2 linked regions of the Schizosaccharomyces pombe genome follow. The protein of the gene in region 2 binds, or shares a complex with, the protein of the main gene of each other region. Each region holds a gene or a part of one and is shown on either strand. Other genes may lie near its edges. A codon is read from its position in the direction of its gene.

Region 1 (3,884 bases), on a different chromosome or scaffold from region 2:
GTTTATTGACAGGTACGAGCTATCTAATATTGCGGAAATGCATGCCGACAATTTAGGGCATGTTTTAGGAATTTGGGGTGAGACCGACTTGGAAGCACCTAGTTACAAATTAAATGGTACTGGGTCTTTTTTCTGGTTTGACATATATACGGACGATGGTTTGTTGCAAAAAGACTATATAGACACTATCATTCCCTTACACACACGTTATCAAAGCCCTCTCAAAGGACAAACATACTTAAAAACATCATTAACAAATCCCAAGTTTTTCTGGAATTGTGACACTGAAGACAAAGTAAATGATTTCAGATTTCTGTTTTCCAGTAAGAACAAATATACCTTACAAAACGATCCAACAACCTTAAGCATATCTATTCCAATAGCCGATTTATCCTATAAACATGTCGTAGAATGGGTGACTAATGGAGTCGCGATTTTTTCGTTCTTCTACCTATTGCTATATTTGTGGAAAAGGTTCCGTTACGCAAAGGATTAAGAGAATAACATCGTGAAGTGAAGTAACTAGATATGTATTTATAAAAATTAATTAACCTATGGATCGCTACATAGTGAAATATGAACTGGTTGCTTTGTGCTTGATATCACAGCGTAAAGTTTTCTCGAAACAAAATCGTGCAAATAAACCAATCAAATGAAGTATAATGATGGGATGTTTGAGAAATTTAAAAAAATAAATTTATCATTAAAGTGATTATATACGTCGCGAAATATAAACAATAAATTCGACAGATGCGGTATGGCTAGACATCAAAATTTTTAAACATAGCAGTAGTGACATACTGGGGAAACAAAGTTAGTCAAGCAACGCGTATAAGGAACCGACTTACCTTTCGATGATAGCGCGTAGTAGCACTTAAAGCGAGAACGCCTAACTGGGTATTTGCAGCTGCTAAATGGTTTAAAAGGACGTGATTAGGATTTGGCAAGACAGACTGATCCTCCTTATAGGCAGTATTTGAGTTAAGGATACACTTCTCAAGATGAGGAGGTAGAGAAGGGGGCTTTGGCAACTTCAACTCTTGAAGGGTGTTGCTAGTAAGAAAAGCTGGTATCTCCGTAGAATATTGCTCAGATTCAGACTTTTCCTCCATCGGAAGGTCCGTATGAACTTGACTCAATCTTTCATCAATACTAGCGCCTAACTTCTCATTAGCTTCCACCTCGAGGTAGTTGTAAAGGTTGCCTTCCGCATCGGTGGCAGTTGGAAAATCTGAAGAACAGCACCATATACCATCAACCAAGAATTTAAAACGCTGAGTTCCAGGACGTAATTGCAAAAGGACAGTGTAATCTTCGCTATTTGGCGAAAAAGTTAGCAAGCTTAAAACAGGATAAACAACCTATAAAGGGAGGCTCAAATATAGAAAAAAGCACACCATGAAAAACTCATACCTTTTCAGTAATTGGATTTTTTTCTTCCAACGAGAAAACGATCCAGTGACATAAACAACTTCACCGCCTCCTCTCCATCGAATAATGGTTGGCACACAAGGACCTATATGTGTAAGTAATTAAATTGTCAATTGCAAAAAATCTCCTTTCTGAAAACTATTGCAAACAAACGTTAAGGTCAACAGCTTAAATGATAATGCAATGTTACGGTAAATCACCCTTGTTACATAAGGATGTCAAGCAATCAAATAAACCGGTCTTAAAGAAACTTACCAGAATAAGGCTGATGTGTCTTCTTGCCTGAAGTTTGAGAACGGCGTTTCGTATGACCACTCGATCCTGAAGTTCCGTTTTGGGAAGTACGATTATTACCGCCTTCCTGCTGATTATCATCCGACATTTCACCTTCTTGATTCAAATCATCTGCAGCAATACTAATCATGCTTTGGGCACGTGGTTCTTTTGGAACGTTATTTGCATTGTCAGGCGTTGTTGTGGCATCTTGAGAAGGGACAGCATGTGCGCGAGTCTCTCCTAACATTAAATTAGATACTTATTTCACATGTGTTTAACTTAAAGGACATTACCCTCCTGAGATTGAACATTTCCCATTTTGAAATGATGTAAAGTAGTTTGTTCTGGCTTTGTAGCTCATCACTTTGAACTAAACCCCAACGAGCATGAAATAAGGTTATTTATTGTATCTAAGCTATCATTAAATAGTGGAAGCTAAAGTGCAGCGTTATTCACAGTTAAACGCTTCGTACTGTTTTGCAGCTTTATCAAAGAAAACATTAATTGAAAATCCATTTATTATAAAGAATAAATATCTAAAAGCTGTATGATAAAAGCTGAAAAATTTAATATTGCATTTGGGACGTATAATACAGTTCTACAACAGCTATGTATAATCTTTTGAAGGTAAAAAGCAGCATGCTTCTCATTCTTAATGGAAATGTTTAAAAAATTATTGAAGCTACATATGAAACGATATAGAAAAATTTTAAACTACTCTGTGCATTGAGAGGCCTTCAAGTTAATTATACACTAAAAGCGGTTCACTTATAATTATTGTAACTTAGCGAGGCTTTAATTGAGTTAAACTTCCATAACCGAAAGGCCTGCATATTATATGTTTATAAATTAATGAATACCTTGTACATTACGCTCGTATAGCTTCATCTTTTTTAACTACGTTCTAGTATAACAATATATAAGTATGGCGCAAAAACTTCTTTCGTAAAAAAGACGCTTCTATTTCTCAGACGAAATCACTCAAATTAAGTTACGAACTTAAAAAAAGCCTGAATTTCTAGATATCAAATGCTCTATTTCCGTCAATTTTTCATGTCTACTTATTATGCTGCGAAATAAGCGAACTAAAATCACTGCATTGCAAAAACAAGAACAGTGTTTTCAATGAACGTACTGATTAAATACATTCCATATGAAACGAAGAATATATTATTTTTTAGTTAAATGACGACTTTACCAAACCAAACGTGAATTTTTGTTGCGATGAATCCTTCACTTTATAATCTATAACGAAGCAAAGTAGTGAAAACTTATATGTTGTTAGTACGCAGCTCAGTATTGGTTTAATGATACAATAAAGTATGAAGTATTGTTTTTTGATATGATATGTTCCATTACAAAAATGTCATGAATTGAAGTACATATGGTTGAATATGCTGTTAGAGTACTCTTTCCGTTCACCTAACTCAAACGAAATTTTGATTTCAGTGGTAATCTTTTTATGCTGTTTTAAAGCCACGAACACGAGGAAGGATTTGAAATAGACCGTTTAAATATACAAATTATACCCATACATATCCTAGAGGCTTTTAATGAATAACCTACGCGATTTATTGTTTGCTACGTAGTTTGGTATTTGTTTAGCGATACACTAAAATGCGATGAGTTTCTTTTGCGGGCTACAAGATAACGGTATGGGTATGCTTCACTAACAATATTATATTTATTGTTATAAGTCTACTAGTATTGGTGACCGATTTAGCTAATAACTGAACTGAGGAACGAGGTTCAGTTTGTCTTAATTTAAAGCATTGAAAAAACTATGTAATAAAATAACATCTTTTTATTATTGAACACTATTATAATCTTCTTGATAACTTATCTTGTAAGTAAATAGAGCAAATAGAATATTAGAGCATATGTTATAGTGTATCGTAGTGTATTTTATATAAGCTGACATTAATGTATTGTAGGAATAGTAGTATTTAGAATTGGTATGTACGCTACGCAGTTTGGTATCTGATTTAAGGATACGTAGAACTACGGTGAGTTTTCCTTGTGATCTATTATATTACAATACACAGGTTGTATAAGTAGCAACTGAGTATAGGTATTGTATTAACTGGGTTATAATGTTACCTATCACTAATATAGCTCATAACTGAACTGAGGAACGAGGTTCAGCAGTAGCTCTATTTATAGTATTCAGATAATAT
Region 2 (4,001 bases):
GGTCAAATCTCTTTTGATGTGTTCCCTGCTGGTTGGGATAAGACATATTGCTTGCAACACGTAGAGAAAGAGGGATTTGATACAATTCACTTTTTTGGAGACAAGACATACAAAGGCGGCAATGATTATGAAATTTTTGTCGACCCTCGTACTATCGGACATTCTGTTACTAATCCTGACGATACCATTGCTGAACTCAAGAAAATTTTTAACATATAGATGAGTTTGTAGTGTGTTGATTAGATATGCGTCCCTCTCTTATCATTACGGAAAAGGTTAGCTTTCTTAGTTGTAAATAACTACTTCATATGCTCGGCGAGTGTGAAGTTTCTTGCACACAATTGATCTGTCATTTAACTCGTACATCTTCCATAATTATTGGTAGCATGGAATGCGAAGAACATTAAATTATTGTAATCTACTGCCAACGCAGCTTTTAATACTCATACCTGAACAATATGCATATATGAAAGAATATTTACAAGAAAATTACACTTACGATCGGTTAATTGATGCATTCCTAGAAAAATGCGAACTTAGTAGCTAATGAAAGGCATGTGTTAGTTATTTAATTAGATAGGCATTAGCATAATGGTACAAGTCACATCATATTATATAGACAGAAGTTGTAATAACCGAATTAATACTTTTTGAAATAAAAGAAGCCTCATTCGAGTACACTGAATTAGATACCACCTCGAGCTGCCATGCAAAAAAAAAGAAACAACTCAACGGTTTAACTTCAAATATCATGAGACTTGGCAATGTTTTCAACAGATTATGAATGCATTCAGGCTGAAGCGCACGAGAATCAAATTATACGGCAGATTCAAAATTATCAGTTTGTTCGGGAACGCCGGGCGTAGTCGTTTTATCGTATATTATGTAATTTAAAATATCAGCCAAAGATAAAATACCTTCGAGCTTCAAGTTTTCATCAACCACGAAAAGACGATGAACCCTGGAATGCTTAATAGCATCAAAAATACCATCCAAACGATCAGTAGCTCGACAAGTGTGGACGCCATCAAAGTTAGCTGGTCTTTTCAATAAAGCCTCGCCTACGCTCAAGTCTAAATTACTATAATCACCATCTTGTATAAGATGCATTACATCCACCGATTCATAGACATTTAGCAGGGTACCTGCTCAGTTAATATATAAATTATTCACAGAAAAAATTCAAAACATCTCACAAACCTTCAGAATTAACGATTGGGACGGCAGATATATTCTTTTCGGCAAGCATTTTAATAACATCATAGACTTTCGTTTCCATAGACGCGGTAGCTAAATTTGACCATGTCCCAATTGTCATTTGGTTTAATGGTACCCGTAGCATTGCGGTTTCTTTGCACTAAATTTGAAATTAGTAAATATAAAAACATAACACGATTTACGAACATTCATGGAGATAAATTTCAAAATTCGATATTGTGTCAAAACAGATACAATCATTTCGCTGCCTGTCTCGCCATCTACGTCAATTAAAGGAATTCTTCTAGCACGGCTCTTTGACATGGCTAAGCAAGCATCCATAAGACTATGCATTGGATGAACATATATAGTTTCCGGAGGAATGGCGCCAATCTTTCTTTCCACTTCACGAAGTCCCAACAATCGAAATTTGTCAATCTCAGCTATAGCCTCGGGAAATGAAGAGCTTTGGTAATAATACTTAATAACATTGACGAAATCCGCCATCGTTAAAAGGCCCGCAAACTTATTCGCTTCACTGTCCCATAAAGGAGCACTGACGATATCTAAGACGTGATTAATAAGTTGATTTCACATCTGTAATGAAAAATCTTTCGTACTGTTTAATGTAAGAAGAGAAAGTGATGTTTTTACAAAAAGCGTAACATCGAACACGATTAAACGGAAGGACGTAGGCAAAACATCGTAACTTGTACGCGAGCGTATAAATGCTTGAATTTCTTTCTGTACATCACATAGATTAATAATTATTTCTATTTAATAAAAAATCTATTCCATATCACTTACGAGTGCTCCTTTTTGGGTCTCTTGAACGTCTGTCATGACCTCGTCAAAGGATATATGGTGTGGTTGGTAAAAGAGACTAGATAAATGAGCGAGGGGAATGGTAACCCGCACAAGGGCAACAAATCGAGGTGTTAAGTAATTAGTTGCAAATAGTACAATGCCTAAATTATGCGTATTTGTTAGTGCTTTTAAATGATATATTTCACTTAGGGGAATATTGTAGCTAAACTCGTTGATTTAAACTGCTTATATAGTTTACTATTTAAACGTAACAATATACATTGACAAAATTAAATGCAACTAGTCTATTAACTCAATGATAAGATTGATTAAAAGGCTTAACAATTAAGCATAAATTTAATCCAATAGTCGTCCGCTACAAAAATAACATCGTCGAGCAAAAATTTCCCAAATCTTTAGTACTAACAGTAAACTATAGTTTCGACTGTAACAAAGTTTCAATGGCTACCGGGTCGTCTAGTGTCGCCATAACAAAAGTTTGGCTATTCCTCGTAAAGGACTTGAATTATCAACTTCGATAAAAAGCAAAAAAATACACTAAATTAATGGTAAAATACCAAATTTCAAACCATATCCTTACTTACTAAATTATTTCGGCCTGTTAATATATAAATAGATTCATGAATTTTAGCACACACGTTTTAAAACATCGATACCTCAATCTTCCATTCAACCAAATACAAAATCGATAAAAAAACACTAATTTCAATTTGAACATGATTATAAGCTAGCATAATTAATTATTATCAGAACAAAAACCCCTGTTCTAATCCTAATGAAATTTTGTGAAAACTAATTCACAAAACTATAAAATTTAGACATGATATCATGTTCCCAGTTAGAAACTCCCTTATAAGAACCCAAATTTGCATTTAGAACTTCTCAGAAACAAGACCGTCCTTGAAGAAGATCATGTAGGGAGTAATACCATCCTCACGGTAGTTCATTAAGACAACCATTGCGTCGGGATCCATGCTCTCACCAATGTAAAAGTCGTAGTCCTTGAAGTTAGCCAAAATCTTCTTGACGAATCCAATGGCATTCTTCTCGAAAACAGGAACACGCTCGGGGTTGCTTTCTTGAAGACGAGCCTTGATAGCCTTCATGTAACCCTTGATGTAAGACATATAGGACTTCTTGTCAAAAGAAGTAGGGCTTAAACGGAAAGAGTAAACAAGATTGTTTACAGTCTCAGTACCCTCTTCAGCATTCTCCTCAGCATCCTCGGCAGAAGGGTTGGCACCAATGTCAACATCACCACCTTGCTTGACAGTGACCATTTGGCAATCAGCCTCGTAGACAATATCGTCTACCTCCTTCAAGTCGTAGGCGTCAGAAACGAGTTCGTCTCCAGAAATAACGTCCTTGTACAACAACATGGTGATTGCAGATGGTAGCTCATAATTTGACTTCTCGCAGGTTTAATGAGATAAAGCAGTCACAGTTTAGGGCAGGGTTACTGGATTCTAGCCATCCGTATGGAATGCGGTTACGAACAGTATTCACTTTACGTAGTACAGCGTTGTTTTCGATAGATACATTTTGTTTACCAATTCCTTCATTTTTTTCAATTTGTCGTAGTCTGTTCTCCTTTCTTTTAAATAACAATATTCTTTATATTTTCAGATTTTTTTTTAGATGAAAATATCGTTGTACTCAGTCAGTAGTAAATTGTTTTATATTACTGAATCTGATTTTTTGAGTGAAACCATTATGATGCGTGTAAAATTAAGATTAAAGCTGGAATTAAAGTCCAAATGAATTCAACAATTGAACCATATTTAACAGTATGTGTATTAATCTCTATGTTCTTTAATCAACTTGTAACCATTTATGTCGCCTCAAATTTATTATTCGAGCTATTATCCGTCAATTCTTGAGTCGTAATTAGAACATTCTCAACAGTACTGAGCTTCAGAAGAAACCTAAAAAAGTAGTGCATTATAGTTGATAATAATTCCTTAACGTTTATATAT

Evidence for each region. The genes of interacting proteins can lie anywhere in the genome.
Region 1: the proteins of cbs2 (region 2) and amk2 are in contact, whole or in part, in a crystal structure (PDB 2QR1), measured with the Schizosaccharomyces pombe proteins. Residues at the interface, in NP_001342925.1 of Schizosaccharomyces pombe: Tyr25 (codon at 1,905), Asp26 (codon at 1,902), Val27 (codon at 1,899), Leu28 (codon at 1,896), Pro29 (codon at 1,893), Thr30 (codon at 1,890), Ser31 (codon at 1,887), Phe32 (codon at 1,884), Arg33 (codon at 1,881), Leu34 (codon at 1,878), Ile35 (codon at 1,875), Val36 (codon at 1,872), Phe37 (codon at 1,869), Asp38 (codon at 1,866), Thr40 (codon at 1,860), Leu41 (codon at 1,857), Thr45 (codon at 1,845), Ser48 (codon at 1,836), Leu49 (codon at 1,833), Leu52 (codon at 1,824), Asn53 (codon at 1,821), Asn54 (codon at 1,818), Ile55 (codon at 1,761), Trp61 (codon at 1,743), Ser63 (codon at 1,737), Arg101 (codon at 1,623), His123 (codon at 1,557), Pro124 (codon at 1,554), Met125 (codon at 1,551), Asp147 (codon at 1,485); in NP_588485.1 of Schizosaccharomyces pombe: Leu241 (codon at 986), Glu249 (codon at 962), Asp250 (codon at 959), Gln251 (codon at 956), Ser252 (codon at 953), Val253 (codon at 950), Leu254 (codon at 947), Pro255 (codon at 944), Asn256 (codon at 941), Pro257 (codon at 938), Leu272 (codon at 893), Val274 (codon at 887), Thr281 (codon at 866), Tyr283 (codon at 860), His284 (codon at 857), Arg285 (codon at 854), Lys286 (codon at 851), Tyr287 (codon at 800), Val288 (codon at 797), Thr289 (codon at 794), Thr290 (codon at 791), Ala291 (codon at 788), Met292 (codon at 785), Phe293 (codon at 782), Lys294 (codon at 779), Asn295 (codon at 776).

The regions. Positions count from the first base shown.
Region 1 is NC_003421.2:2,206,975-2,210,858, forward strand, and holds amk2 (serine/threonine protein kinase AMPK (beta) regulatory subunit Amk2), read right to left. Parts: upstream 2,054-3,884; 5' UTR 2,026-2,053; coding exon 2,001-2,025; exon of another isoform or gene 1,948-2,000; coding exon 1,687-1,947; exon of another isoform or gene 1,517-1,686; coding exon 1,414-1,516; intron 1,318-1,413; coding exon 849-1,317; intron 801-848; coding exon 762-800; 3' UTR 511-761; downstream 1-510. Other genes in the region: pbn1 (GPI synthesis protein pig-X), read left to right, coding at 1-496. UniProt on the Schizosaccharomyces pombe protein: Beta subunit of AMP-activated protein kinase (AMPK), which is required for transcriptional, metabolic, and developmental adaptations in response to glucose limitation.
Region 2 is NC_003424.3:3,806,631-3,810,631, forward strand, and holds cbs2 (protein kinase activator), read right to left. Parts: upstream 2,073-4,001; 5' UTR 2,041-2,072; coding exon 2,005-2,040; intron 1,942-2,004; coding exon 1,818-1,941; exon of another isoform or gene 1,764-1,817; coding exon 1,405-1,763; intron 1,358-1,404; coding exon 1,201-1,357; intron 1,146-1,200; coding exon 817-1,145; 3' UTR 502-816; downstream 1-501. Other genes in the region: phosphomannomutase Pmm1, read left to right, coding at 1-219; tma19 (translationally-controlled tumor protein), read right to left, coding at 2,898-3,404.